Linked DNA regions of Mytilus edulis. The protein of the gene in region 2 interacts with the protein of the main gene of each other region in a pairwise test. Links are inferred from orthologs where the notes say so. Each region holds a gene or a part of one and is shown on either strand. Other genes may lie near its edges. The genes, in order: 5'-AMP-activated protein kinase subunit beta-1-like and filamin-B-like.

Region 1 (15,765 bases), about 41 Mb from region 2:
TACCTTTAAATGTATGTAATAACCCAAATGTTTTAAAATTTAAAGAACTGATGACTACATCAGATCTATTTACACTTACTGGAATAGCAAAATTTTGCAAAAGTGTTATTAAAACCTTTTAATAGATGTGCTTAATCATTTTACTGTTATTTGTCAAATATCAGTATTAATTATATATACTATTATTGAACCTTTATTTACAATGTTGTTCTAATGTAAATATGTTCACACTTTTATTGTTTGTTAAAAAATGTTGTACTAGCATACCCCATGTGGGGGTTTTAGTGAAATAAAATGTCTTATGTCTTTTAAAAGTTACTCATTGAAGGACAATCCATATCTATTTTTTTTTTCACAATGTTTCTAATCAGAATATATACTTGAAAAAAATCTTCTTTCAAAGTTTATTGTAGGTAAGAAGGAACATCAGACATCATTTTTGAGAAAAAACACAAAGTTTATGCTTTATATAATTGAGGGATAATATTCTGTAGAATAGATCAACATTAAATTGTTGAAAGTACATGTATCCTCAGAATGATTCATCCTCTATCAGGATGTCCAATGAATCAATGAGAAACATTCATATTATAGTGAATGGCACATTAACACTTGATCCTGTCATATACATTTTTTTGTAATTTCTAATGAACATATACCAATATAAATGTATGTACACATTGAGATTTTTCTTGGGAAACCACCAAGAGTCGGTTTCACAAAAAAACTTACGACTAAGATTGATTGTAAGTATACTGAATTGTTCATGACTTATGACCAATCTTAGTCGCAAGTTTTTTTGTGAAACCGACTCCAGCACTCATGCTCTATCATCTGTGTGTAATTTTAGGCTTGGATAGAACTGGCTTTGAAAAAAATCCAATTGCTAAATCAGTATTTTTTCACAGAATTAGAATGTCCTGTTGATTTTTTCTGCTTTTTTATCCTGTATATACATGTACATCTACATGTACATGTATGTCTTGCAGAGATTGTGCATGCTTCAATCTTAAAACTAAATGAAGGCTTTGTTATGCATGTTAAGGTTATGAATATCAAATAGGTAATATCATATACATGTACATGTGACAATCAATACCATGATGATCAAATGAAACTGAAAAATTAAGTAGATATTTACCTCTGAAGGGTTGTGCTGCCATGACCCATCAACAAAAAACTTGTACTGATGTTCACCTTCTGGTAATTCTATAATTGTTAGAAAATCACCATGACTGAAAAAGAAAAAAGAATTGAAATATGCAATATGCAAGGTAGCATTATTCTTATAACACACCTAGCCAATAAGCTGCAGCTAGCATTAACAAATTTCAAACGAATCTAACATGCCAAGCCACCCTTATGAAAATTATCATTATACAGTTGTATGGTATACAATTTTTACTTTTTTTTTAAAGTTAAACATGTTAAACTTATATTCATCAAAATGACTTAGGGGTCCTGATTGTCAAGTGGTCTAAGTAGTTCATCTGATGTATATATACTAATTAGCCTGTTAACACTAAGGTTAAGGGGCCCCATATGTAGCAAGTATGTTAGACTCCAATCCCAATAGATTAGGATTGTTTGTTTTGCTGCCAAAAGTCAGACAACTCCAGTTATCTCCACCAATTTAAGTTGTCCTCAATGACAAAGCTTATAGTGCTGAAAAATTAAACAGCCAACAATCAATAATTCAAAACAATTCCTTTTTTGTTGTTTGCATGGTGTTTTATGAACGTACATGTATACACCCCACAAATCCTTATATTCATACAAATTATCTAATTATATAACATATCTATACAATCAATAATTGTTAACCACAATAAAAATTGTGTTTGTGGTTTAAAAATATAGTTTATACATGTTACATGTACCTGAAGTTATCAAATAATCACCTTTTTACTTTCATTACAATAAACAAGATAAATGACTTTCTATTGTTTATGAGTCATCAGTTATCCCACATGGGTCTGCTCAAATGAAGGCGATATGGATTATGGTATATTTTTGGTGGGTAGCTTTATTCCTCTTCATGTTACACCAATACAAACAATCTAAGATACCAGATAATATGCACAGTTTGTCCTGGTGTACGGTATATATAATGTCCTGAATAACTGAATAGTTCAATCTTTTTCTTTACAAACCTTTTGACAAGAGGTATTTTGGCCCATTTATTAAAACTTCCAGCTAAGTAAATATCCTTTCCGCCACCTTCCCATTTGAATACTGCTGGTAAAAGTTTAGGCGTCTGGTAAACCATATCAGCTCCCTGACTCAGTGTTGTGGCGGCTCTTGGTCGCTAAATGACAAAAAAAAACATTTTTTGATAAAATTATTGCCCTTCTACTCTGACCTGATAAATTAGGAGAATTATATATTCTCCAACATGTAAACCAAATTAAAAACAATCAAGCAACAGGGAAATGTTAAAGAATTACATCTTTTTTCAAACTTACCATAAAAGAGTGCGGATAAAAAAAAAATTGGCAGCATCTATTGAATGTAGTTCAATGTACATGTATATATATATTTTTAAGCTACATTTTGTACAAAGATACATGTATTATATCATGTCATCTAATGACAGATTGAGTCCACAAAATTATACATTAGATGAACCGTCCCAGACAGACTTGTACATTATGAAAGTTGATCTTGTATTGCTGATCATTTTTTTTCTCTTTGCAGTTTCTCTCCAACTTCTTTAGTTTTTGACCTTTTGCCAAAAACACAAAAAGGGGGGGGGGGGGGGGGAATATTCATTGATGGGCAATCACTTTATATTATAGCATGCCTACTATTGATTTGCGCATAAATTGATTACTTGTAGAGAAGATACATGTACATACAACAAACAATGTATGTAATGTATGTCAAGAGGATTACTGTACATGTACATTCTGTTGTTCAATGAACAATAAAATTACTGTAGATCAATTCCAAGTGACTAATGTCTGACATGAACAGGTACACATGTACATACATGTAGTCACTCAGGGATTGCAGCAGATAAAATCAACATTTTAAAAAATTTATTTAACAGTTGAAAAGTTTTGCAAATGGAAATACTATTGTTACGAATTTACTGTTTAAGAATATAATAATAGTTCTACGGTTATATATTTCCGATATCTATATTAGTTTCCCATATCATCTTTTTATCGTTGAAAACTGTATCTAAAATCATCCCTTTATCCTTGGTTGCTATCAGACGCTTTACCTGTACAGTTGTTGCTAGGGTGCTCTCTTCGAGGTCCGCGTTAGAAGTATAAATAGTGGGTAGCTATTCAGTGTAAATTGTCATTTGTACCGAAGACAGCAGACAGTAAACATCGGAAAGGAAGTAGTTTATAGCAGGCAGAAGGTTTAGTTTAAGTAAAGTGAAGTGCTTGGAACCTGCAGACAGAATAGAGAATGGGCTGAGACTGTTGGTTCGGTACAAATTGTCCAAACAGGGCTGGTGCTAAGGTTTTGCGTCTCACATCTCTCACTATTGCAGTGAGTGTTTGCTGACATACCATGCCTTAGTGCTACCCTGTTGTTTCGACAGTTATAGAAATGTTTATTAAATAAAGTTTTATACCTTTTAGGTTCAGTCCCGTTTTATACATTTAGGTTTCAGCCCGTTTGATACATTTAGGTTTCAGACCAGTTCCAAACATTTAGGTTTCAGACCAGTTCCAAACATTTAGGTTTCAGACAATAGTTCCAAACCGTCAGACCCGTTCCATACATTTATGTTTCAGACCTGTTTCATACATTTATGTTTCAAACCAGTTCCATACATTTAGGTTTCAGACTATAGTTTCAAACAGTTGGTTTTAAACGGTATTGGACTGAAAGGGTTTTAAAACAGTTTTTTAATTCAACAAGTTTGGTTCAGGTTGATAGGTGTTGAAATTCGTTTTATGTAGTATAGTATTTGTTTCATATTTGATAGTGATAGTGTAACATTTTAATTGACTTTCGAACTTTTGAATTGCTTTTCAAATCCCAGGAAACTGGTATGAACCCGAGGATAAAACTATCTAAACGTCCCCGCCCGGTTACACGTTACACTATTATACAAATACATGTATCTATTTTTTAAACTTCTAAAATTTTACATAAGCTCAAAATTCAAAGATGGTGCTGATAAAATAAATGATGCATTGATTAATATATTGTATACATTTGTATATGCAATAATAGACACATTATAACCAGCTTCATGTACTTTTGTAGGGACAAACTAATACAATAGAGTGAAATGTCCAAAGACTAACAATAAAAATATGAAAAGGGGCATAACTCTAGAATGGTTAAAGTGAGGCCAACCAAATTCAAACTTGATCTCTGATTTGTGGTAATACATTTTGTGAGAATTGTGTACAAGTTTCATAACATTTAATTGAGACAAACTAAAGTTAGAGAACGGAGAACAACTTTTGGACATACGGACGGACAATAAACGTATGTGTACAAAAAATGTATCTGCCAGAAACTGCACCTAGAAATACATATAAAGTCTGGAAAAGATCAGAAGACAAACACCAAACTCTCATGTCTCTTTATAAACCTTTATTCAATCAAAGTCAAAATAATTCAGACATCAATGATGTTTTGAGTAAAAAATAACTCACAATAAAATTATTAAAAAGGGCATAACTCTAGAATGGTTAAAGTGAGGCCACCCAAATTCAAACTTGATCTGTGGTTTGTGGTAATACATTTTGTAAGAATTGTGTACAAGTTTCATAGCATTTTATTGAGACAAACTAAAGTTAGAGAACAGAAAACAACTTTTGGACATACTGACGGACAATAAGCGTACATATAAAGTCTGGAAAAGGTCAGAAGACAAACACCAAACTCATTAATGATGTTATGGGTCATAACCAGTGACACAATGTTCATGTACATGTATATACACTTGTATGTTGACGAAGTTTGAAGTTATTAATTTTTAGCATATCAAATAAATCTCAAAAATGCTATTGTTATATCAAACGTTTATTCATTCTCATCACTTAAATAGTTTTTTTTAAATTCACTGTAGTCAGATGTAATCAGATCCATCTCTGTTGGACAAGAGTAAAACTTGTTTCCCCCTCTGCTATGGTGGGGGCATAAAAAAAAACATCCTAGTAAGGATTCTGTACATTTATTGTGTATACATTGTATTAACTTAATTACTAAGTACATGACCAGTTTTCATAGCCATCACAGGAGCTGTTATATATTTATAAAGTACAATCACAATGTACAAATGGCATCAATTTACTTGTTGTCACCTGATTAGCATACATGAACACTTGTAAATAATCTAACCTTTAAATTAATATATATAGAGTAAGGATTGAAAAAAAATTACAATTTTACAACACAAGTAAATTTATTGGACCAAATAAACTAGACTGCAATTTAACAGTTACATCTCTATTTATGGGACCATATATTAAATAGAATACATCATAAACATGTATCTACAATACTGTACAATTCTAATTTACAAATCTATCAATAAACAATGTACCGTTGTGTCTAAAGGTATATGTATGATTGTAAACAAAATATAAAGAAAAGGTCATCTACAACTTACACGTACATTTGATGCAGGTCATTCTTTTCAAAAGTCAAAATGTTATTCTACTTTTATATTTATATGCTAAATGGTAACCTTCCTCAATGTCAAATAGTACACATTTCTACTTGGGGCTACATGACACAATTATCATAAAAATGTCAACTTTATAATCTAAATATTTTTTTTCAATTTCTTACTGAATAAATTAGTTCATGAAATGATTCACAGTTTAAACTTATACAAAAATATTTGAAGAAAATCTGAATCTAAAAAAATGAGAAAGATAAAAATTGTTTTTAATCATTGGGCATATGACCTTCACCTTCAACTCAAGACATCAAGTAAATATTTACATGTTTACTAAAAAGACTAGAAGGAAAACTAGAAAAATAATTTTAAAGAATTACCCTAATGTTAGGATTGATCACTTGAATGTGATCAAATTCTTTTTCGCTATATCCATATCTTCCAGCTACAAGTTGAGGTCCAGATTCATCGCCAGACACATGGCGAGATTTTTGTGATGTATTGCCCATTCTTCTAGATTGTAGTGTCACATCGGATTTAAAAATGTCTCAAATTAATATTTTACTATGACTGATACATTAGGTGCAATCAATAGTTGACTTGTAAATTATATCCAAGTAAAGACAACAAATATATGACCGACACTTGTCATGTGGTGGTCGATCACCTCGTGTCGTGTCTTTACAAAATTTAGAACGACCTAATCCCAAAATTTAACTTCGTTTAAGTTTTAGGACAAAATCCGATGTTCCTTGCCTAATCTTTACATCATTTTATCTTTTCTGAAGTCAACATTTTAAAAAATTTGATTGAATCGACTGCAAAAAGTAAACAAATATGGTGGAATCCACGGTACGCATGCCAGAAATAGTAAATGGTAGAACAAGTACGGATTTTTCTTTTAAAATCCGTTAAAATTCTATTTGAACTTTCTTTCATTTTTCAAAGTAAGGCTGACTCAGACATCATTTTATTTCAGATCATCGAAATCATTTTTTTTTCATGATTAATTTTAACGCCCCTTTACTTCCCGCAAAGAAGGTACTTAACGATTTACCCGCAGAGCCGTGAATGAAAGAATGATTGCATTCTCGCATGTCTGCCTCTGATAATACACCTTATCGCTATTTGTCCGCCATTACTAGATATCACACAGGTTCCCGTAATTTTTTGACGTCACAAAACAAAATATCTGACGACACAATGGAAAAGTGATTGTTGTATGCGTCAAAAGTTCAAGCGGCAGGGTCAGCCGGGATTAGCGATAAGGTGTCACATGATGACGTCATCACTTCAATCCTGAGATCGTAGGGCATTATATTGAACCTCTTTTCAGTCTGAGTATAAAAAAAATAAAAAATGTGACGGAGTTCCAATATCTAACGTTAGAGACATTAAGATACATTTTGCCTCCACCTCAATTTTTTTTCTCTCCAAAATCCGTTATTCACGTTTTCTATAATAATGTTCCTGTTTTAAAATATCATACTTACATATATTTGTACATAAATATATTCGAAACAACGTTTGTTTACAATTTATTATCAATTGTTGGTTTACTATCCACATCGGTCATTGATAATAGAATACTGTAAAGCATTGACCGCTGTAATACTGATCGAGTAAAAGATATCGTAGAGTATTTGCGGTTGGAGACTTTATTTCATAGGAAATTTCGCTAAAGCCAAAGGTCGCATGAAGCCACCAGAGACCGCATATATACACGTCATGTATGTCTCGGTAGTAAAAGTCTAATAAAAGTATAGAAACAAATATATACATATATATTTATACATTTTTTGACTCGTTCAAAATTAGAAGATACCGACGGTCTAAAAATGGATAATAATAAAAAATTCTTTTGTTCTCTTATTCAAAAAAAGACAATGAATGTTATATTTAATCTTTATCTTTTATGTATTTGTACAAAAGCCAATATCAAAATAACTTAACTCTCGATGGATGGCTTTCATTTCATTTACTTTTCGTTCAAATGGTTGTTTCCTCCGTAACGGTTACTAGCCTAAAAAATACTCACGAGCCTGCTGAGAATTTTGCATAAATAATTGCTTGAAAAAGACAAGTTACCTATACCACGGGTTTCATTCGGTTTAACGAGAGAAATTATCGTGAAGGAATATCTAACGACGGTCAACGGTTTTGAGAGACGATCGTGAAAGCTCTGGTTACGGATCGAGAAAGACATTTAATGTAAATTCCAGTTCATAATCTTTGAAAAAATCGTTTAATTTTCAAAACGCGGAACAAATCCGAACAAAAAAATATGTCTGTCAAAATGGTCAAGTTAACATCCTCAACATAACTGTGAAATAAGATAAAGAAAATATGCAGTACTTTATGAAAAAACACAAAAGGCGCAATGCATGTCTAAGAAATTAATTACAAATAACACGCTTTTTGTACCTATAATGGTCATATTTCAGTTTATCATGATATATTTGAAATTTAATCTTTGGTGTATCTGATAGTACAGTAAAATTAAAGTATGTTCTTCCCTTATAAGCATTAATTTGTATATGAAAACCTTGAATTTGTTGAATTTCCATCAAACTTGACGATCCTTGATCGTGAAAGATCAGGCAACGCATTATTTTTATCGTGAAAGATAATGCGTGACCAGACATATTAATACTAGTAATCAGAAATCAGTATTGCTTTTACCATTTGATAAACCTGCAACTGGTTGAAACCTGTAACTATTTTGATAAGGATGAACATTAGAGCTATTTTTTTTTTTATTCACACTTTACCTCGAAGTTTAAAAAAACAACAAATAAACGTGTCTAAATAAGTGTGAAAGATTCAGCTCTGGGAATCGGTCAAGTGCAATTTAGAAAGACCGACACTATTTAGCCAATAATATGGATATGCAACGTTTAAACCAAAATGATATCCACCTAACAAAAAATTACAGCAAAACAGCATCTTTCATGGGTAATTTGAGATTGAACGATAACCAACACTTTGTGCAACAGTACTTTCTTAAGTTCTTTATACACAACGCAAATGTGGATTGATTTAACTACATACTACAGACTATAGAATACCAGATCGCAAATGCTGTAATGTCTCGTCTTCTTTACACATGATTGTATATTTGTTGAACGTCTATAATATCAAGGGTTTTCCAAGAAGTGTCAAATGCGCTTAATATTGTCAATGGTTCATAAAATGAGTTCAAGGTTAGATGAACCATGCCATACAGATCTCTACAAATATCACGTACACCAAATTAAAGTGTTCAGATCCTTACAGTGCCTTAGAAACTGACAAATGTAAAAGTTATGCTTGGCCAATTAATTCGCCGGGAACATAAGGTCAAAAGTATATGAACCCTGACCGACAGCCAGACATAGACATCTTACTATCATTCAATATATCAAATACAATTGACGTCATCATGGTCATAGAAAAAGAAGAAGAAGATGCTTTATTTCCATAAAATGGGCTCACAAGGAGCATAATATAATATCATTGTAATATAATATTCTTTTACAAATATAATAAACAACACATAGTTACAAACACAAATAAGAAACAACAGTTTTCACATATTAGTATATATATAAAACCTTTGTCTCAGGCACACCTCTGGAAAGTAACAAAAAAGAATACTGTGAGTAGGCTAAATATATCTAGCTGAACTGCAAAAGGCACCAAGGGACGGTGCTATATGGCATGGTGGGTGCATATTAAAATGTGTATAGGGACATTAATGATATGGTTAGATATGGTAAGAAGTTGCACATAAATGGTAAGTCATCCTCGTGCCTGGTGCAGAGGAGTCAGTACTATCTAAAGTGACACAACTGCAAGAGGCACTAAGGGACAATGCTAATTGACATGCCAAAGTGCACAAATTACGAAAAAGATAAAATATTACCAGTTTAATCAAAAAATTTAAATAAAATATCACAAACAAGAAGGTAATAGAACTTGTACGATGTGTCCTGTACCCCACCATGCCAACCTCGTGCCTAGTGCAGAAAGCCTGATTAAATATTAATCTTTTAAGTTATATTTTATCTTCATCAATTAACTCACAGACAGATATCAAAATATCAAGATTCTCTACATTAAGAAGCCATATCAGTTTTGGCTAGGAATCAAATGCTTAAAGTTTGGGCATAGTGAGTCAATAGTGGAATTCAAATAATTTCTCTTATCTTGAGATGATGTACATGAGAATACAAAATGTTTTTCATCACTCAACTTCATTTGAGGTGCACCTGAGACATATTCTGTCTTGTCGGAGAGTACCCTGATAGCGACCTTGTTCAATTTTTAGTCTGTGAGAAGAAATACGCAATCGAGTGAAATTTCTCCTCTGCTCAGGTGATTGTAATAAAGTAAGATATCTTTCAAGACCAAAATGAGTCTTAAAAGTGCTATAGCTACAAAGCTTCCCATCAGCACAATTGTGCATTTGGTTTCTCCACTGTATTTCATAGTGCTCATACAAAAACTTTTTAATTAAAATTTTGAATCTAAAGTTGCTTGCAAAGGTTAAACTGTCAACCCCATTAATTTTTTTTTGCTAATAGTTTAAAGATCCATACCAAGAGGAAATTTTTGATTCAAATAATAGTTTTGACTCTAAATATGCATCTTTTAATAAGGGAAAGGATGAACCCAAATTTTCAAGCCGGTGCCAGTATCTGATCATAGATTTGGTGATATCAAAATGTAAAGGAAATCTCCCAAGTTCTGAAAGAGTGGCAAGGTTTGTTGCTCTTTTCCCCACACCTAGTAATAATTTACAAAATTTCATATGTAATCTTTCTGAAAAAAGTTTAGGATAGGCTTGATCAACTGTAGAAGTCTGAGAATTAAATTTTTTCTTGAAAGGATTAAAAAAGCCCCAAATTTCCGAACTATACAAAAGAATGGGTTTAATTGTATGATCAAATACATTGAGGGTTTTTTTAATATTGGGATTCAGTGATAAAAGAGGGGGAGGACCGGTCTCTAAAAACACCGCAAAGGACCTCCTTTGTGCACAAAGGAGCACAAAGGAGCACTAAGGACCTCAAAGAAGTTTGATAAGAGCACAAAGGACCTTAATTTCCCTTTAAAGCATTAAAATATTATAATTCTGTATTGACCCTCGACCCTACCATACATAAGAAAGCTATAGCTGATGATGAAACATCGGTATCCTTACGTAATTATCGTAGTTTTGGTAAAGTCTGTTATCTTAAAATATATTACAACAACAAAATATTAAGAATAATAATTGACGTTTTTATCATTTATATCATATTACAACTATTAAAAATTTTACATACATGAGCTACATGTATCACTTTCCCGGATATAAAGTCGGTTCCAATCCGATATCGGTGATAACATCCAATCGTACATTATAAAAATCGCAATTTTTATTGAAATTATTTTATTTTTTTTACATTTTTCTTCAGGAATCATAATATTTTTATGCTTTAAAGGGAATTTCAGGTCCTTTGTGCTCTTATCAAACTTTTTTAGGGTCCTTAGTGCTCCTTTGTGCTCCTTTGTGCACAAAGGAGGTCCTTTGCGGTGTTTTTAGAGACCCGGGGAGGACAGGGATAAGGGAGACCGGGAGAAAGGGGGTAGGAGAAAGGAGAAAGGGGGTGGGAAAAAGGAGAAAGGGGGTGGGAGAAAGGAGAGGAAGGCTGGGAGAAAGGAGAAAAAGTTGGAGAAAGGAGAAAAAATAAAATATCTCTCCTTTTAAAATTTTTTCTAATATTTCAAGAAAAAATATCTTAAAAGGAGATGTTTTATTCTAATGGGAGAAAGGAGAACGGGGGTAGGAGAAAGGAGAAGAGAGGTGGGAGAAGGGAGAAGGGTACCCCCCTGTCCTCCCCCTCATAAAAAGTCCTTTCGTAGCTTGTAGTATGCTTTCAATGCCTTATTGTACAATTCCTATTGAGCAAAGGAAAAAGATCCTGATGCACTAAATGTTATACCTAAATATTTACAATGTTGAACACATTCTATCTAATTATGTTTTATATGCCTGCCTGCTTTGTTAAATACCATCACCTTAGTTTTTTTTTTTAGATTAATTTTCATACACCAATCTTTACAATAATTATTTAATTGATCAAGTTTACACTGAAGCCCCTTTTCCGAGGAAGAAAAAATGACAATATCGTCAGCATATAATAAACAATGAACTGGCTTTGAGTTAACCAAGACTGGATCAGGTGACTTTTCTAGATAATCAGGGAGATCATTTATAAATATTTTAAACAAATTAGGACTCAAATTATCTCCCTGTTTCACTCCCACCTTAGTTGGGAAAAGGTCTGTAACTCTATTCTTTAATCGAATACAGGATTTACTCTGGGCATAAATACTCTTAATTATATTATAAAAATTTGTACCCAGCCCAATGTTTAATAACTTGAGTTTTATACCTGGGTGAATGACCGTGTCAAAGGCCTTCTGGAAATCAACAAAACAGGCAAACACTCTACCTTCTTTAGTATGACAGTACTTATCAATAATGGTCTTAAGTATGAACATATGGTCAGATGGTCGCGCTTTCCTTGTGAAGCCAATTTGGCTATCTTTAATGATCTGATATTTATCTAAAAATTTGCAAAGACGGGTGTCAAGAATTTTATTAAAAAGTTTCCCCAAAGCATCAGTAATAGTTCTTCCTCTATAATTATTAGGATCAGATGCATCATTCCTTTTATGAATTGGGAATATGTAGCCAATAGTCCAGGGTTCTCGGTATTTTCCATAAGAGAGCCAATTATTAAAAAGTTTTAGTAAACAAGGTAACAAAGAGGTTTGACCATATTTTAGCATACTGTTAGAGATGTTATCCAACCCTGCTGCTTTATTGATTTTTAAAGATGACAAAGCAGTAGATATTTCGGTTTCAGAGATCCTACTATCAAGTTCATTAAAGCACTTTCTTTTTTCAAGAATATTTAGCTTTTCCTCTAAAAAATGCAGTCGTTCTTTAAACTCATCTTTTGGTTCTGTCAAATTTTTAAAATGATTCAACCAATCAAATGGTGCGACTAATGCACTTTTATCATCCTTTTCCTTGCCCTGAAGTTCATCAATCAATTGCCAGTACTGCTTAGGGTTTTCCTCGTGCAGTGTTTCTATCTGCTTCAACAAAGACTGCTTGCACTCCCTTGTATTTGTGTTTCCGTGCCTTAGTATATAAGCGCTGTAGTTTATAAAAGTGACCTTTAACGGCAGGATCTCTGGGAAATCGAGAATAAATTTTCCCATAACTAAATAGGTTTTTTCGCAAATATGCAAGATTACAGTCAAACCACTTTTAGTGTTTAACCCCCTTACCCGTTTGGGCTTAACGCCTTTTAAGGGAAATATTGGCAGCAGTTTTTATAATGTCTGTCAATTCTAGAGATGCGCTATCAATTGCATTTTGGGAATCGATGGGCTCTAGTTTAATGAATTTTTCAAGTCGCTGCTGAATTTCTGCCGGTCATATATGAAACATGCAGACAGACATGTACACCATACACGAATTGCCTTGGCGCTATAGCATACAGGTATATATCCAAAAGCTAAACAACATAAAACAAACATTGCCGAATGATGCATGCAAATGAGTTCCATGTTATTTAAAACCTTGCAGAAGTCGAAAATCTACACCTTATTATCATAACAACAGACAGTTATCCTTTTTGAATTTTCCTCGGAGTTCAGTATTTTTGTGATTTTACTTATCCTAAAGCTTAACGAATCCGCGATACGGACTTGACCACAACAATAAATCTTCATCCATGAAATGAGGCAAATTCGGGGTCAGGTGAATCCTGTCTGACGGACATGTAATTTATAGGATCCAATATACAAAATGTGGGTATCCTATAACTCGTGATAAGTGAGTACTTCACATGACAATAAAAAGCTTCATTCTACAATCATCCAACTTTTTTACATTTCTTTGAAATGCTTAAACCTATTGAGGATGTTGACCTATCTAGCTTTTCTCAATACCAATAACAAATATTAATTATGATATAATTGAAGAATAATTCGAACGTTTTCGTAGCATCAGATCTTTCACGATCCTTTTCACGATTTTCAAAAATGCGGTACGTGATCTTTCACGATCCGAAAATTCAATTTTTGTGTAAATAGTTCTTTATTTATCAAGTTTCAGATTATGTTTATACAAAATAACTATGAGAACTATTTGATTAATTCAAATAGAGTGCCCTTATTCGGATAAAAGTAGTTTTTCTAGTCGAATTTGTGAAAAAATCATGTTTGTTTACATTTTTTATGTCATTGAAATGTCGAGAAGCAATCTGCCTTTTGTTGTTTTGTAATAACTATGTACTTTTAAAACTTGATATTCTCACATACTGACTCATACTGATGTTGAACCATTTCGACAGACAGTTTTATTTTGTCGTTAATTTGTCTGTGTAATAATTTAAATTAGAATATTTATTGACCTTTCATATGTCTTCTCGATTAAATGTCTTTCACGATCCGTTACCAGAACTTTCACTATCGTCTCTCAATACTTGACCGCCGTTAGATATTCTTTCACGATCATTTCTCTCGTTAAACCGAATGACACCCGTGTATACCTTTTGTCAGTATTGTGATCCTTCATAATACAAGTTCCAAATGGAAACATTATTCTTGAATATTATTTCCACTGGAATAAATATTACAGTAAATGTTCCTAACGGAATAAATGGTATAGAATATTTGTTCAAATAGGAACATATATTATGACATTGTTTATAACAAAGTTTCCACTGGAACTTCTGTTAGGCGTAAAAAATATACGTTGACAGGTATACGTGAATGAGACAGCAACCCCAAGTTTCTTTACGAGTCCAATCACACTCGAGTCTCAAAATAACAAAACACATTTTTAAAATTTACAGATGTTCAATTATTATGAGAGCTTGATTTTTTTATAAGGTTGGTATATAAATATCATACGATCAATATTTTCCATTTGCAGTAAAATTTCGATGATCTAACTTATTCTTGTTCTGATTCATATATAGCAGCGTATTTTAGCTTATTTTGTCTGACTGACCAAGAAACAATTGCAATCATACAACTACCACATGTATTCCATCGATACTGTTACTGGTTTAAACATGTTAATAAAGCTTAAAGGGAAATACCTTTTGCATGTTGTATCAACTTCTGAACAATTGTATGTTATTATAGTTTGTAACTAGCGGATTACTACTGTTGCATTTATTTATTACTCAGTTAATATTTGAGTTATAGTTATATTATTGCATTGTTGATTGCTTCTGTTTATCAATATAATAGTTATTTAAATTTTGAAATTGGAAACTGATTGGACAAAATTTTATTTAGTCAGGCAGTCAGAACAGACCGACTAAAATCGTCAGATGTAGGATATACATTTTTTGGCAAACATATCACTCTTTTTCATGAATTAAATGCACTACCTGTCCCTCTAGATAAAACCACGGAGAGGGTATGGAATTTCCAAAGCACAATGAAAATGTCAATTACCAAAATTTGTGCAGAATAAAGTTCAATAATACAAAACTTGACAGAGCCCAGAAACGCCATATTATGGAAATCTATTTCGTGAGGATTCTGAAGATATCCACAAGATAGACAGTAAATATATTGTACTTTGGGTATGTGCGGAGACCTTCTGGCTATAATATAAAAAAGAAGAAGTAATATGATTGCCAATCAGACAACTCAACACAAGAGACCAAAATGACAAATAAATTAACAACTAAAGGTCACCGTACGGTCTTCAACAATGAGCAAAGCCCATACATAATATACATTTTAAATTTTTTTTCGTTCCCGTGAAACCTATTTCAAATTTCATCAAGATATCTTCTCAGAATATCAGCCATCTGTCTTGGCGGGCTTTTAAGTCAATAAGATAACAGGTCAATGTATTCATGTGAATTTAAGATTTGTGGTAATTCTAAAGTACAATTCGTAAATTAATCTTATATTTGGTTATTTTCTATCACAATCCAGACCAGCTAGTGACTTATATCAATATGTGTGTGAAATATTTTTATATGATTTTAATTTATGAAAATTAAACTGAACTCTAGAACAGACCTTTTCCGAACGTCGGGTTGGACCTTTATTTTGGTGGGAATTCGGGATTTACACGAATATATTATTAA
Region 2 (16,212 bases):
TGAGACTAGGGCTAAGCATGTATCTCACAGAGAAAACACAAAAATGAACGAACAGCATATTTCATCATAACAATTTTTACAAACAAAGACAACAAAAGTAATTTATGTATAGTAAAACTGTACTTAAAGATGCCAGCATACACAACCTTTTTGTTTGAATTTTTACTGTTTATTTTTCATTGTGCAAATATATGTCTGTATATTTAATGTAATCATTATGGTTTTTCCCTTTTGGTTTTCCCCACATCTAATGTTTTTAATGTTTCATCTAAATTTTTTATGGCAATCGCTTCAGTGCCCTCATGGTTCTTACTTTATATCTTATTCATTTTCAAGTAGAAAACTATTCACATAAAATTCAAGATGATCTATGTATATATATATATACAGTTACAAATGTTACCTTGTAGGGGCAATACAAATTTCAAAAAAGTTATGTCCATAAATTTTAAATCTTTATATTGATAATCATATGTAAAATATAAAATCCCTTTAAGCAAAGACTTAAATGGCCAATTTCATTTCTAAAGTAAGAATTATTTGGTTTTATATCAAAGAACATTAATAATCAAAACATGTTGGTTGTAAAATGGTACAATAGATTACACAAATTGCATAATATATCTTTAATAAATTGAAACTTCAAATCTTAAAATGTGAAATGCATTGTTAATCTGATATTAAATGCAATACTATTGTTCACAAGATATATTACGTACACTTTTAACTGTTGCCAACTGTTGGGAAACCTAAGTATGTCAATGTGCAGGAAATTTCAAAAACATAAATATTTGAAAAACTGTTTCATAATTTTGTTACAACTACAGCAAAGATATCAAATATATGAAGAAAAAAAATGAGAGGAGTGGGTTGTGAGAAGGAGATAAAAGTAAAATGCAGCAATATTTAATCAACCTTAATCAATGCTTGAGATCAAAAATTTAACCTGATATTGGACAAAGAAGTAATGGAAGTGCTACTCTACTATCTTAGGCTGAGCATAAAAATATTTTGCCTAAACTGGCATTGCACTAAATTTATATTTGAAAATGAAGATGGAAACAGGCAACAAGAGGGTAATCAGTATGTCTTACTTCAATGCAATTCCATCATTCCAATCTGTTGTAAAGTTGCCGATACCACATTCTGGAATTACAGCCTGTATCCATGCCAACATCAACTTCTTGGTCGGGAATTTGGTTTTTCCGATTTGGTAACGGAGAATAAGATGCCATATCAGACCTAAGATTAACTTCAGGTTTCCAGTTACAATATCATCGCTTCCTGTAAATATGAAATTTTTTACATTATATCTATTACAGATAGTGTCAAAATTTGTAATGAAAAGGAACTAACTATGCATTGTACATATAAGGAAGTTATTAGAGGTGAATGTTTTTAAAATAGTTTCAGAGTGCTATCTACCTCCAGTTTTTCTCATCTAATTTTTCTAATTATAATTTATATACACCATTTTATCATTCCCTCATGGTATATGAGAGTTTATGATTTATCATAGAGTTATCTCCCATTCTTATCCTTCAAACTCTCCATTTTTCCCTTTTTTTCATTTTAATTGTTTCTCTTACTTTTTTGGAGGGAATGCAAGTTAGTAAAAAAGAATTACGGTACTGAATAAAAATGTTTTTACTTTTAACAAGATATTGAAAAGCAATCCAAATTAAAACTATTTATAACAAAAAAAAATTGTAAATATAAAAAAAAAAACAGACTGACAGATTTAGGATTACAATGTATTGCTAGTCCTCCTATATACATTTTCATCTTATGTAAAAATGTTGGGACATTTAAACACCATTTTTCTTTTAAATAGTTTGTGAACAACGAAAAATTTTACAATACAATAACATGTCATCTTATACCTTATTGGTATTGTGTTTATTGTACAAAATGTAGTTTACTGATTCAGTATCTTTAAATAGATTATTTTGCTTTTAGGCACAAAATAAGTTGACATATTTGAATAAAATAAACCCCTAAGTGCAAATGTACGATTATTTTAAATTGAATGTCACATATCAGAGATTACAGGCTTAAGTGAAAAAAATGACTAGCATGCTCCAAGCCTATTTACTATGCACACTATAAGATTCGAAACTATTGTACATGTATTCTATACTGCTCTATTTGATAGAGCAAAAACATTTAAAGGTTTGATCTTTGTCTTGTGTTTCCTAGTATTTCTAAAGTTAAGGATTGGCAATCATCATTGATAAGTGACATTTCAAAACGAAAATAGCACATTTGAAAGATAAATTTGCTACATCCTTTTGTTCAACTAGCAATTGCAATTCATTAATATTCATTGGCTGAAAGCTTCAAAACGTTAAAGCAGCCCTGAGTTGCATAACAGAACTTTTATGTTGCATAAGCAATGTACTATTAATGCTTTTGCATATATATAATCATAGCAATAGCAGCTTTTATTTTGCATTTATATTCAATTTATCCACCTAATGCAGATTAGAATTGTGTGTACATCAGATAAATATCTACAAATTGCAGACAATTACTAGTAGATTGTAAATTAAAAAAAATATGTATTTACTATAATTTATATTTATATTTTTGTAATTTCAATGTTTTATTAGAAAATCATTTCTTAATTTTAAAATTAATTTCAATTTAAATTTTAAAGAATTGTTACTTATCTTTCATAATGATAAAATATGTTTAAGTTCTTTTTTTTATATCAGTATACTTTCTGCAATAAACATATCCATAAAAATAGGCATAACCTCGCCACATTCTGTATGTATGCGCCTGTCCCAAGTCAGGAGCCTGTTATTCTGCTGTTGTCGTTTGTTGCTGTGTTACATATTTGGTTTTCGTTCATTTTTTTTTTTTACATTAATCAGCCTGCTAGTTTTTTGTTTGAATTGTTTTACATTTGTCATTTCGTGGGCTTTTATAACTGACTATGTGGTATGGGCTTTACTCATTGTTGAATGCTGTATTTTGTGACCTATAAATGTTTATTTCTGTGTCATTTGGTCTCTTATAAAGAATTGTAAAATTGGCAACCATACCACATCTTCTATTTTATATTTACAATGTATCTACATTTGCATGTTATGAAATCCCTCTGAACAAGAAACTGCTCTTTTGAAGATTTTTAACAATTATGAATCAAATTTAAATGATGTGGTCAGAAATGTTTGAAGATTACAACAAAAATGTACAAAAAAAACAACAAATATAAAAGCCAGATACCACGGGAAAAAAGTGAAAATCTTCCACAAAACATGACACAGAAAAACAAGTTGACCAAGATTGTTTATGAGCTTTAAAGGTTCAACCATATAATTTTGAGGAATGTTAAAACACAAATTTTTGTAGTGTATTATAAATTGGCCAGAAAAAATACCAAATTTAAATATCAAAAATTAAATGCCTATCCATTTAATCAATCACCAATAGTGAAGTTAAATTTTTTAAAGTGCAGTCAGTAAAATACTTGTTAAAAGAAGGAGATTCTTGCTCTGGCTGCTGCTATCATGCCAGGGTGTCAGTTATTTCTATGAAATTCTAAATGAAGTTAAAACTAGATGATTTTTAGCTCTGGCGGTTGCTATATGTACATGTATCATGCTAGTGAGTCCAGAAGAGATCATCTTCTTTTCAATCTACAGATTTTTAAGAGTTCATGTACATGTATCTAAATATATCACAATAAAATAAAATGATTTTTGAATTAATGAACGTATGATACTTGTACAATTTCAAACAATTTCATTTGGTTTGTAGTGTTAAATGCCTATCTTCTGATAAAAAAAAGTTTAAAGAAATATTCAATTTCTACAATGGTGGACAAACTTAAAACTAGTGTATTCCAAAGACTGTTGCAGTGGGCCATCTAGAGTTTATAGACACCTGTCTCTTGTTGTAGTCTAAATATATGTTAACTTTCAAATGTGTATTCTTGTTTGATTTATGTTGTTGTGTTGCTATCTGATTGACTTGAGGACCTATGTACATGTACATGTGTGGCTCATGTTGTGATGGAGTCACAGTGGATTGCCAAATGTTGGGGTTTGTTTTAAAAGTAATAAAAGTTTGTTTACATTTAAAAAATCAGTTAGTGAGTTCTATGATTTTTTAATATAGATTTTGAATCAGTTTGTGCATAATTTGAATAAATGTAGGATAATACATGTAGGTTCAAGCCTGACACTCTCTTTTTATTACATGTAATGCATACATATGCACTTAATAAATGTAAATATTGTGTTTTCCACAAAAATAAGGGAAATCCCAAAGAGCATTATACAGATCAGTTATAAAATTTGTCCAACCAAAACATCATCAGTCTTTATGTACCTAATGTTTACGCAAATATAATGGTAAACCACACTTCAATGAAAAAAGGGAGCTTTCTGCAACAAAAGTTGCAGGCTCGACAAAAAACAAAAAAACTATCCAACAGAGAACAATTTTCTTTTCTTTTTTCTTGGGTTGGACATAGCTTGACAGATTTCAAAAGTACACAGCAATTGATTATTTTCAGTTTACTTTACATCCAGTGGCAAATATTTCAGATATTTTAGATGCAATTTACATCTTGAATCATATCAATTTGTATACAATGAATATGCCAGTGGTACTTGCAGTTGCAAAATTGTTATTTTTGCTGAGTCCAAATGACTTTATGGAAAGTCTAGTGATTCTGGCTCATTGCTAGATTTATGACTGATACATTGTTGGTGTTTAACAGCACTTTCAGTACTCTACGCTATATCTGGGTGGCCAGTATTTTAAAAGGAAGCTGGACTGTCCAGAGAGAAAGAATCAATGATCTTTGACAGGCAATCTTAGTAAATTAAAATCCACCTTGCCATGTGCAGGGTTCAAATTCATATACATGTAATAAAAAAATGTACAACCTGCATGATACTGTGGATAAACACATTTTTTCTAAAAATATAGGAGTCTGGGTGGCTGACTGGCCTACATCTACAGTCCACAAGATATCTAATCATTGAAGTTGCAAGCATCTCATTTTATATATTTAATGATTTTGTTTGTTGGTTTTTTTTTGTTTTTTTTTTGGGGGGGGGGTCATATTTTTCAGGAGATAAAGATATCTGTGCATTTATCTCAGATGGAGTACAGGAATATGCTGAACATGCAATATGATTTTTTTATTACCTTAAGTATTATTATTGGGTTATAATGTAAAGGCTACACGATTGAAAGTTATACTCCTTTCTGGAATTTCCATTATTTTGGGGTAAAATACTAAATTAAATGTACATGTAGGTGTAGTGCTGTACCTATTAGCCTATCAAGGTACATTTATATGCAACAATAATTTTTAAGAAACTATCAGTATCACTCTCTAAACTGAAGTATTAAAAATCTTTGTTGACAAACTTTTAACTGATAGCATCATATGTCCTGAACCATGACATGGATGACCCCATATTCATAAAGAATGATTTTGCAAATTATGACCCACTGTATACCTCCATGATACATGTACATAAAACCTTACAAAACAAAGGGTTTGAAAATAATTCAGCCAAAGAGAATGTGAGGATACTTATTAATCAACATTTTCTTGTTGAGTCATTTAATGTAAAATGACTCACATTTACAGAAAGAAGAAAAATTTCTTGAAAATCATCTATTTTTATTTTCAGTTTTGAAATGGTACATGGCATTTAAAAATATCATTGAAAGTTCTTCATCTGTAAAACCAATTAAAAGATCAAATTATATATGTACATGTAACAAGATTTTTATAATTAGCCACTGTTTCTCAAGTGTTCATAATTGATTAGATGTTCCAAATGAAATTGTCAGAACTCCAAGATTGTCTGTGGAACAATAAAATTACATGCTACAACAAACACTGAATTGTAATGGTATTTTTAATTCAGTGTAAGCTGCCTAAATGAAATATCTAAACTATGTTTTCAAAGTTGTAATGTGCTGGTACAATTTTGTACATTTCTAGTAGAAAGAATATTTATTTTAAAACATTTATTTTAAGCATAAAAAAATGTGTTTTATTTAAGTTAATGTACCCCTTTTGGTGGTTTGGGACCAACCTGGCAAAAGAGTTATAATTATACATTTATCAAGGTACATGTGCCCATGTTTTTATTTTTTACTTCAAAATTCATCATTTTTTGTCATCCCCTCAGGCCAAATCCAGAGGACATATATATGTCTCTGGCTAAACATACATGTAAGAGGCTGAGCCTAAAGGAATGTCATGGTTTAACTTACCAATATTCACCAGTCTAACATTGTCATTTGCAATGGCATTCAGTGCTTTGGAAACATTCTCCAGGTTCTGATGATGATTTCTTGGATTTTTAATAACCCTTCCTATTTTCTTTCCTTGCAAAGCTTCAACAAGATAACACAGTCGAACTCCATCCGAAAAGTCAGTCTGTAAATCTTCAATAAGTTCACAATTGTATATCCTAAGTTGTTCGTTCACCCAATTGGTGAATGTGTTTTGCTGAATTAAGACCCAGCGATCTGTTTCACCTCTCAGACTCATAGCTGCATGTCCTTCTCTGCTTAAAGCACGAGCTGACATTGTGAGTTTTTTGCCAAAAATTTCTCAACTTTGACACTTTTTTAACTGAACCACACCTAACATACAATTGTATTGTTACAGCTGTAGGGTCTTGTTGCTGTAATTAATGTCCTGGATATCAAAGGGTCTCTTATCGGGAACTCCTGTCAATAAATACCTGTCCTGTTTGGATGATGTTTTAGACAGGAACTTATGGTTCCAACAGACATTCAATTCCGGTCCGAACAAACCGGTTTGCAGGAATTACTAGCGAAGGCGTAAATAGACACCTTTTAAAAATCCGCCCTCTGGCGGGCAGGTATAGTTTTGATCGTTCATTCATATTTTCACACTTGACTGGTTACAGTTATAAACAAATATGGGACGGGTGTGACTGGTAATAAAAATGTAATAAATAATTTATTGTGTTTTCTAGCATTTGTTTAGGAAACAACAAATCATTAGTTGATTCATAATTAATTATTACCTGTCAGGTGTATTGATTAACGTCAATCACTTTTACAAGTAAACAGCAATATTAAAATAATTTACAGGTAATTTGACACGATTAGTTACCAATAATCGAAAGGGTGTGAATAGACGTGCATATTATGATTGTTGATTTATTTTTATCAATTTAAGAATTTATTACTTGATCCCTTCAGTTTCGAAATCTACATCTTGTTCAGCATATGGTGACAATTGGTTTTTGTTTGCTCGAAATCCAGTCGCAAATATTTCATTCAGGACGAGAAAAATCAGCAACATGTTTTTCTTTCATTGTTTTTGGCATGAATCAGGCGTTGTATGCTTGTTTGCTTTGAATTGAATTAAGTCAAGTTAATAATTTGAGAAAAAATACATATACATGTATAATGCAATTTTATTATTCTTTTATTCACAATATATACGTGGTTTTTAGCTTGATTCTGACCAATGCTTATATTCCAAATATATATGTATATGCCTCTATTATTGTTGTTGTTACCAATTATGTAAATCAATTGTATCTGATTTTATGCCCTTTATGGGCCCTGTAATTTGGGAAATAAAAAATGTTCTATTCTATTTTATTCTATTCAACTTTTTTTGTTAAATTTGTAGTACAACATGTATCATGCCACTTCAAAACCACAATCAACAACATTTGAATTAGACCGAGGTTTTTCTGATATCTGACAATATTTTGGGTTTCCTGTGGTCTTGGGAAAGCCCCCATTCAAATACCCTGAACGCATGTCAGATCGAAAAGCATATTCGGACTAGAAAGTTATTCTGTAATTCAAATGCAAGAGTAACCCTAGGGGGTGCATTTATTGCAAATAAAACTGGTTTTGGTTTTAGTTTAAGGTTTTGAACTGGTTTCCAAAACTAGTTTAGGTTTTATCGAACTAGTTTGAAAAATAAACCCAGTTCAGGCACATTTAAACAAATGGGTGGTTTCCTTGAACAATGTTGAAACCATAACAAAAATGACTGAAGTATATCTTTTACTACAGGACTTGATAACACAAACAGAAGATGACAGCATTGATAGGCTTTATCAGATTCACAAGAGTGTCTCAAAAAGAAAGCTAGTTTTCTCAGTTGTATCATGCTTGGCTGCTAAACGTAGACACATCGCCAGGGTGAAAAATTGTGTTGAAAATGTTATCCCCCAATACACACCTGATGACTTTAAGAATCGTTTTAGAATGAGCAGATCAACATTTGATGCACTAGTTCTAAGCTTATCTCCTCAGTTAGCGGTTGGTCTTAAGGGTGGCATCATGAAAGTTTCTATTGAAAAGCAACTACTGATTTTCATAAGATATGCATCATGTCAACAGATTTTGACTGAATTAGCTGACAGCTTTGGTGTATGTGAGCAACAGTTCATACATCGAACATCTTCAATTATTTGTTCAGATTTGCTTCCTGCATTTAATAGTTAAATGGCCTTCTGGAATGAAAGTGCAAGAGACAGTTGACATGTTTTTTCAACACAAAGGTTTCCCTGGTGTTTTAGGGGCGATTGATGGATCACATATCCCCATCAAAACTCCTAAAGTGGATGGTGAACAATATTACAACAGAAAAAAGTTTCCTTCTATAATACTTCAAGCAGTATGTGACAAAAACTTACATTTTCTAGATTTTTATTGTGGGTGGCCAGGTTCTGTGCATGACTCGCGAGTTCTTAAAAACTCGCCTCTGTTTACAAGTGCATCTGATAACAAAGAGAGAATGTTCCCAGGTAATACCCATCTAATTGGAGATGCTGCATATGCTTTGAGTCAGTGGGTAATGACGCCTTTCAAAGACTTTGGCAACCTTTCGGCTGAACAAAAACGTTATAACTACATCCATAGTTCGAGTCGGATGTGTATCGACAGAGCCTTTGGTGCATTGAAAGGTCGATTCAGGCGTTTAAGATACATTGACATGAAAGATATGCCTGAAGTGGTAAAATTTGTGCTCAGCTGTTGCACATTACATGAAGTTAGTTTAGCCAATTTTGATGATTTTGATGAATACATTGAAGAAAGCCAAAATGCCAATGAAGAGATCAATGATTTCCAAGATTTTTTAAGGAGAAGACACAACATAAACGTCAGTCAATTGTTGATATGCTGGGATAAAAAGATATTGCTCATATTTATCTCCCTTAACCATGTTAACAGAAAATGTGTAAATTGTTTTTTAACTGTAAACTTTAGCCAAATTTAGATTTTCAATTCTTAATTAGTGTATTGTTTTATTTTGTATCGCCTGCTTTTCACACATGAATGACTCGGTGTTCATTTTCATGTTTTGGTCCATAACATGTCACTGTGTATTATCAATGTTATCTAGGTACTGTTATTTGACTGTTGCCCTGTTTATAATCTGAGTTAGAAAGGCAATACTTTATAAAAATAAGATGTGGTATGATTGTCAATGAAACAACTATCCACCGAGTTCAAATAAAGTGGATGCAAGTAATTTAAGGCAACCGTTCGGCCTTGAACATACCATTTACTGGGCTATAAAAGGCCCAGACATGAAAAATATGAAAAAATTCAATTGAGAAAACTAACAGTTTAACAAAACAAAATACTAAAAAGAAATGATCGACATGAACAAACAACAACCACTGAACTACAGGCTTCTGACTAGGGACAGGCACATAAAAAATGGACCAGGAGCCTCTGGCCTTTGTTAGTCTAGTATGATTTTTAATTTTAGTTTCTTGTATATAATTTGGAGTTTAGTATGACGTCCATTACCACTGAACTAGTATATATATTTGTTTAGGGGCCAGCTGAAGGATGCCTCCGAGTCCGGGAGTTTCTCACTGCATTGAAGACCTATTGGTGACCTTCTTCTGTTGTCTGTTCTATGGTCGGTTTGTTGTCTCTTTGACACATTCCCCATTTCCATTCTCAATTTTATATCAGTGCTACTAGCACGACTAGCTATACACTGTGCAGTAATATAAACTCAATGATTATTTTCAGGCCAAATTTTAGGGATCATGGAGTTCCACATGTTCTAGACCCCTGCTATTTTTTTGTTCCTTGGATGGAAAAAAATTATATATAAAGTTGATATTTTTTTCAATATATATGTGTTCAACAATGAAACAGTTTCATATAATGAAATTTGTATTTTTAACAATAGAATAAAGTGGAATGCAATACTAATATGTCACTCTGACAATGCTGCAACTCAGAAAAACATAATAAAGTCAAAAAGAAAAAAAAACTTAAATCAATCCAATTATTGTAGTATGTCTATTTTTTCATATGTTCAATAATCTGTGACATAAGATGATTTTTTTTGTCTTCTTTGTCCATTTTTGCCTTATGCTGTTCCTTTATTTCAGATAGCAACCCTCTCTGTTCTTCTTTAAACTCCTCATTCATGGTTTCCAAAAACATCAAAACTTCATTACTTTTTTTTACTTTCTTTCCCTGGTTATTTGTTGGATCTGAATCACTTGCCGTCTTCTTTCTTTTACCCTCTTCTGCCAAACTACTTTCATTTAAAGACTCTACATCACTATCCTCACATGTCACAGATTCTGCTGATGGCATTGATGAGCTCATTGTGAAGATAGGTTTGACATTTGCCTTGTACCCATAAGCTTCCTCCATTTCACAAAAATAGGGGCTCTTTTTTACATCATTCCCACTTTTTTGGTTGTGATCAACAGTGTCACGAAATATTTTTGTAAAGTTTTTCCACTTTTGTTCACATTGCTGGAAAGTAAATGTACTGAGCTGCTTCGTCATGTTCGTCTGCACTTCTTCCGCCATATTCTTTTTCGAAACCAAACTACTAAACTGCCCCGAGAGCGGTTTGATAAGTTTCCAGAACTGGTTTTCGTTTTGTCTCAATAAACAATCAAACCAGTTTCAGTTTTAAACCAGGTTCTAAACTGGTTTGTCAAAACAAATGAAAAGTTTTGAAAACTGTTGCAAAACTTAAACCAGTTTGCTACCAATAAATGCACCCCCTGTGTCAACCTAACTGGTTTTTGCAGTATAGTACGGTACTAAATGCCTAAGTGTCCCAGAGTTATCTTTCTTTTGACAACAATAAAGTGTTGTTTTTTTTTTAAACTTGACACGTCTTTTTATGACTGCTAGACATGTTTGTGGTTTAATAAATGTAAGTCGTTGAAAAGAAAATCAAGTTTTAACTTAGGATTGTTTTGACCATAAACATCTCCTTTCAAGACCATGTTACTTTTGTAGGATCATACATGATTTAGGAATAAAGGGTAAATGAAATTATGTGTTTGTCGTCCACTTTAATCCACATGATGTCTTGAGGTAGAATTTTACTTAAAACATCTTAATGATTACCCGACTGTAAATATCCTGAAATTCATAATTAACATTTTAATCACTATAACATATCCAAACGGCCATAATTTGAAAAATCACATACAAACACGACAAACACCCTATGAACAATAATTGATCCCATTCCCTGAACAACAATCAGTAGTTTCATGTTTTTTCTCACATGAATTGTTCCATATTTGTTTCTTCCTAAAGCCTTTTATATATGGAATGGGTTTTGCTCATTAAGACAATATGCAAAATCGATCTAGATGAATATGTTGGTTATAATTAACAACGTTATCCGTGAATCATTCCATACATATGGTTTAGAAATACATAGTTATTAAGAATTTCTTTAAAATATATATTTCCTTTACCTTAAAAACATTCCTCCTTTGAAACTTCATTCATAAGAATTTGATAAGTGTTTTTCCTTAACTAGTCTTACATGGTAATCTTTGTGTATTTATCATTTAACTGTTGAAAACAAATTTTAACCCCCAATGGATAAGGATGATGATGACGATTTGGTGTTCCAGTGACAAATATCACATGCTTAGGAGGAAAAGAATATGTTGGTGAACCATGCCTCATTTCATGTACACACTGATGCAGAGCTTTTAACATGCTTGATTAAAAGGTAAGTCTGTAGGAAGACACCTCATCCTATGCCTGAGCACATTATTCAGAGTCTGAATGACAGGTCTTATTTCTAAATGCTGCTTGCTTAGAGAAGACGCTGTACTTTCCAATTTTTTAGTTCGATGCAGCTGAAGATTGAACCAAGACCTCATCCACTGAAGATGAGCATACGTCCATGGTTCCACCAATGGATTACAAGGTGTTTTTCAAGCAACAAATACAACTAAGTGAACTTAAGTGTCATAAACTGACTTGCAACTTTTTAGATATAGGTCTTGTAACCTTGTTTTTATTAAGATCATCAAATGTATTTTTAAAGGTTTCATTTAAATGGTGCATGGGTTCTAAAGGATTGGTGAAATCAAAGTGCTGGATAGCACCTCTGGAAAGTTTGCAACTGTAGCTGTGTATTATTCCAAAAAGGTTATAGACGTGTATTATTTCAAAAATGTATTTCATCACAGCTTGGATGTTTTAAACTAATCCATTGTCTTGTCAGTAATTATCAAAAATCACTTTTTTCATGTTTGTCATAAAAAGTTTTGATATTTTCTATTGCAACCTAAAACTGTAGATCTAAAATATTGAAATATACAGAAAGCTCTGATAATTTCTTTTTAAGTACCCATGCCATGTCAACATCAAGGGCCTGTGAATTAGTATTTTTCTATTGGTTTAGATCCTTAATTTTTGTTTTTAGTAAATTAACACGTAAGTTTTTTTGTTTGAATTGCTCCACATGTTTCCTATCGGGGCCTTTTATAGCTTTCTGCATGTATATGGTACATATATTTCTCATTATTGACGAACATATGGTGACCTATAGTTATTAATACATTTTCGTCCTTTGAACTCTTTTGGATAGCATTGGTTTCTTTGCAAAAAATACCACATCCTTTTTTATAAATAAGACAGTTACAGTAACTTAAATCAATACAAATGTAATGAAAGTGAATTCATATTAAAGGCTTTTATCTAAAATAGGGAACGTGTCCATGGACACAAATGATGCCCCCGCTAGCATTAATGTTATAAAGGGTCACAACTCAAGAACTGTAAATGTGCATGACGCTACCAAAATGTGTACTTGATCTGAGTTATGGGGTAATAAGCATTGTGTATACATTCTAATTACACAGTATTGCGCAATAGATTTGTTAGATCTTGACATTTGTTTTGTGTCAGAAACCTATATATTATGTCAAAAATTTGATCGCAATCCAAATTCAGAGCTATATCAAGCTTGAATGTTGTGTCCATACTTGCCCCAACTGTTTAGGGTTTCGACCTCTGTGGTCGTATAAAGATGTGCCCACCGTAGCATCTGGTTCAATTTGAAACGAGGCACAACCCTACAGCAGTAAAAATTACTCCACCAAAATTCAAGATTGATCTTTGTTTTATTGTTAAAAGTATTAACAATGTATAAATTTCATAACATTTGGTTGAGCGAACTTAAGTTAGATAACTGAAACGAAAATAGTCAGCAATTTTTTACATATGTAAAGGGGCATAACTCTAAAATGGTATAACTATCGCCACCAAAATTCAAACTTGACTTGTGAATTGTGGTTATAAGCATTGCGTATAAGTTTCATACAATTTGGTTAAGGCAAACTAAAGTAAGAGAACAGCAACGAATTTTGGGATGTACGGAGGTACATGTACGTACAAGTAAGGGAAGGACATACATACTTACAGCAGAACAAGGATAAAACTCAATACGGTGGGAGCATAACAACAGCAGTATGACCACAGGAATAAAAAGTTTATATACACTAGATTCATAGAGGTGCTTATAACCTGTAACACATTTAGTTGCTGTTGTGAAATTAAGCATTGTCTTATGAGTTAAGAACATTTGAGAATTTTTGTTTTATTAAGCCATTCATTTGATATATTACGGTAATCATTGCCTCTGTGTTTGGGTGACAAAGCAATTGAAATCTATTAAAATAGGGCATGGTATGCCTTAAAACTTTTCCAGATGCACAGGCCGCTGTTTGTCTGTAATCTATCTAAATTTTGAGGTGAAAATGCAGCCATTTTAGCCAAAGGGTACACATCATGAACCTTATAATCATTTCTATAGAACTTGTCTTAATACCCTGAGCTATAATATTCGAAGAAGTGGATGCTGACTCGGTTGCTTTTAATACGGATGCTATATGATACGAATTTACAATAACATACCAGAAGTGGTATGATGTAAATTATTGGAAGAAGACTGAAGAACTGACGTTGGGTCAATGTTTTTCTGCTGTCACTTTGATCCACTTAAGCATGCTGAACGAGTAAAGTTCCTTATATCCACATTGGAATGTGAAACAATTAGTATTTAAATAACGGAATTAAGTTTTCAAATGATTTTTGGCATCAAAATCTTCCGATCGATGTTTAGACAAAAACAATGCATTTTTTTTTTTTTTTTTATTAAAGCCGGTCATTTTTACCTTTACTCGTCCTTGGCGTGAGACGTTAGACATATAATATAATTATCGAGTATTTTATATTCTTTCACCTGTGTTTTGTTTAAACAAACCATTATCACTTTTCAATTATCCGACGGCTTGGTCAAAATGTCAACTTGTTCTCGCATTTTAATCAGTCATTCCCGATTCTTTCGATACTCTCGGGATTTTACAACGTTTACGTACGTACATATAGTAAACAGGTAAAAGTAGAGCGGGGAAATGTTCATTCATGAAATATTCATGAATGAATGAAAACGCAATCTCGCGTAGATTTCTTGTGATTTTTTCTACAGCGCATGGCAGATCCGCGAAGTAGTGTTTGTAATACTCATTTTTAAAATGAAGTTAAATTCATCTGAATCGTCGGTGAATATTCATTTCTTTTTATTCAAGCTGTAATCTTTTCAGTCAAAACAGTAGTTACTCAAAATTTTAAAAGAATCTTCCAAGAATCAGAACTCAAACACTAGTACTACACTATCTCGGAGCAGAATATATTGCGATAATCTGTCAACCGGAAGTTTGAGGCCGACGCCTAAGGAAAGTAGCAATAGCAAGCTATAGCAAACTTTCCAAAAATGGATTTCAAACAAGTGAAGTATAAGTGACAGCTTTGACACATGGCATCACAAGTACTGATAATGTATTGTATTTAAGGTACCAACTGTTAAAAGAAAACCAAGTTGTTTGTTACATCCATTGAATTACTTACTTGTCAGTTAATTTGCATCTACTGCCCTGTACAAAGGCAGTAACTTTGAAACCCATAAATCAATGAAATATTCTTTTTAATAACAGTTGTCATGTGGTTGGATTGGTGCATGACCATTTTTTTCCAATAATGATCAATTGAAAAAATTAAACTAGGCTGTGTTGACCTTGTGTGGATTTGGCTATTTCTAAGTCATATAGCTCCTATTATATTTAAGTATTCTTACATACATGGCAATGTTTTAGTTTGAGCATTCCACATGAAAGTAAATCCAGAAAAGGGTATCTTACTCATATTTTGTAATTTACATAAAAATTCACTACAATAACTGACATTTATCCATAATATTCCAGTAGCCATGAAAAATGAACCACACTCAATGTTACACAACTGCATGCTCAGTAATAACAAAAAACACACAGGTACTTTCTTTAAACATGTTTATTCAAAAACAAATATACTTTTGCTGTGAAGTAAGAACTGTATAACTGTAGTAAATATAGACTAGTATTACAACTGAAAACTGTTAACAAATTTTCTTGCATGCAGTCAATTCTATTTAATCAAGAATTGTTTTCAAAAAGGTCGAGCCTTACAGTTATAATTTTTTTAGTACAATGTATGATTATCGTACTCAAACCCAGAAATCAACCAATCAAAATTTGACTTTACAAACACAACTTTTGTTCACAAAGTACTGAGTCAAGCTTCATGACTGAAAGGCCAGTTGTTAAAATCATAATTGCTCAGTAGGAAAGAACTCTTGTAAATCTAACGTAAAATCAGATGAATTTAGCTGTTCTATCAAAATGATATAAATTTCAATTACCAGTACATTTATGGTTAGAAATTCAAATTTAACTTGTCATCTGCACAATCATTTTTGTACTTATTGCTTCCGTTGTAATAGGCCAGTTTAATTTAAGAATCCAGCAAAATATGAAATACACACTGTGATTACCATTCTTATAAATATGATTTATCATGTACAACAGTAAAACAAGATTGTTTTGGAGA

The links.
Region 1: the proteins of filamin-B-like (region 2) and 5'-AMP-activated protein kinase subunit beta-1-like interact in a two-hybrid assay, tested with the Drosophila melanogaster proteins (2 studies listed by BioGRID). The link is inferred for Mytilus edulis from reciprocal best matches to the Drosophila melanogaster genes jbug and alc.

What each region holds. Positions count from the first base shown.
Region 1 is NC_092346.1:61,319,755-61,335,519, forward strand, and holds the start of 5'-AMP-activated protein kinase subunit beta-1-like, read right to left. Parts: upstream 6,482-15,765; 5' UTR 6,112-6,481; coding exon 5,983-6,111; intron 2,309-5,982; coding exon 2,154-2,308; intron 1,236-2,153; coding exon 1,142-1,235; intron 1-1,141.
Region 2 is NC_092346.1:20,335,277-20,351,488, reverse strand, and holds the start of filamin-B-like, read right to left. Parts: upstream 6,861-16,212; 5' UTR 6,575-6,860; coding exon 6,256-6,574; intron 1,285-6,255; coding exon 1,095-1,284; intron 1-1,094. Other genes in the region: putative nuclease HARBI1, read left to right, coding at 8,501-9,145, 10,033-10,044.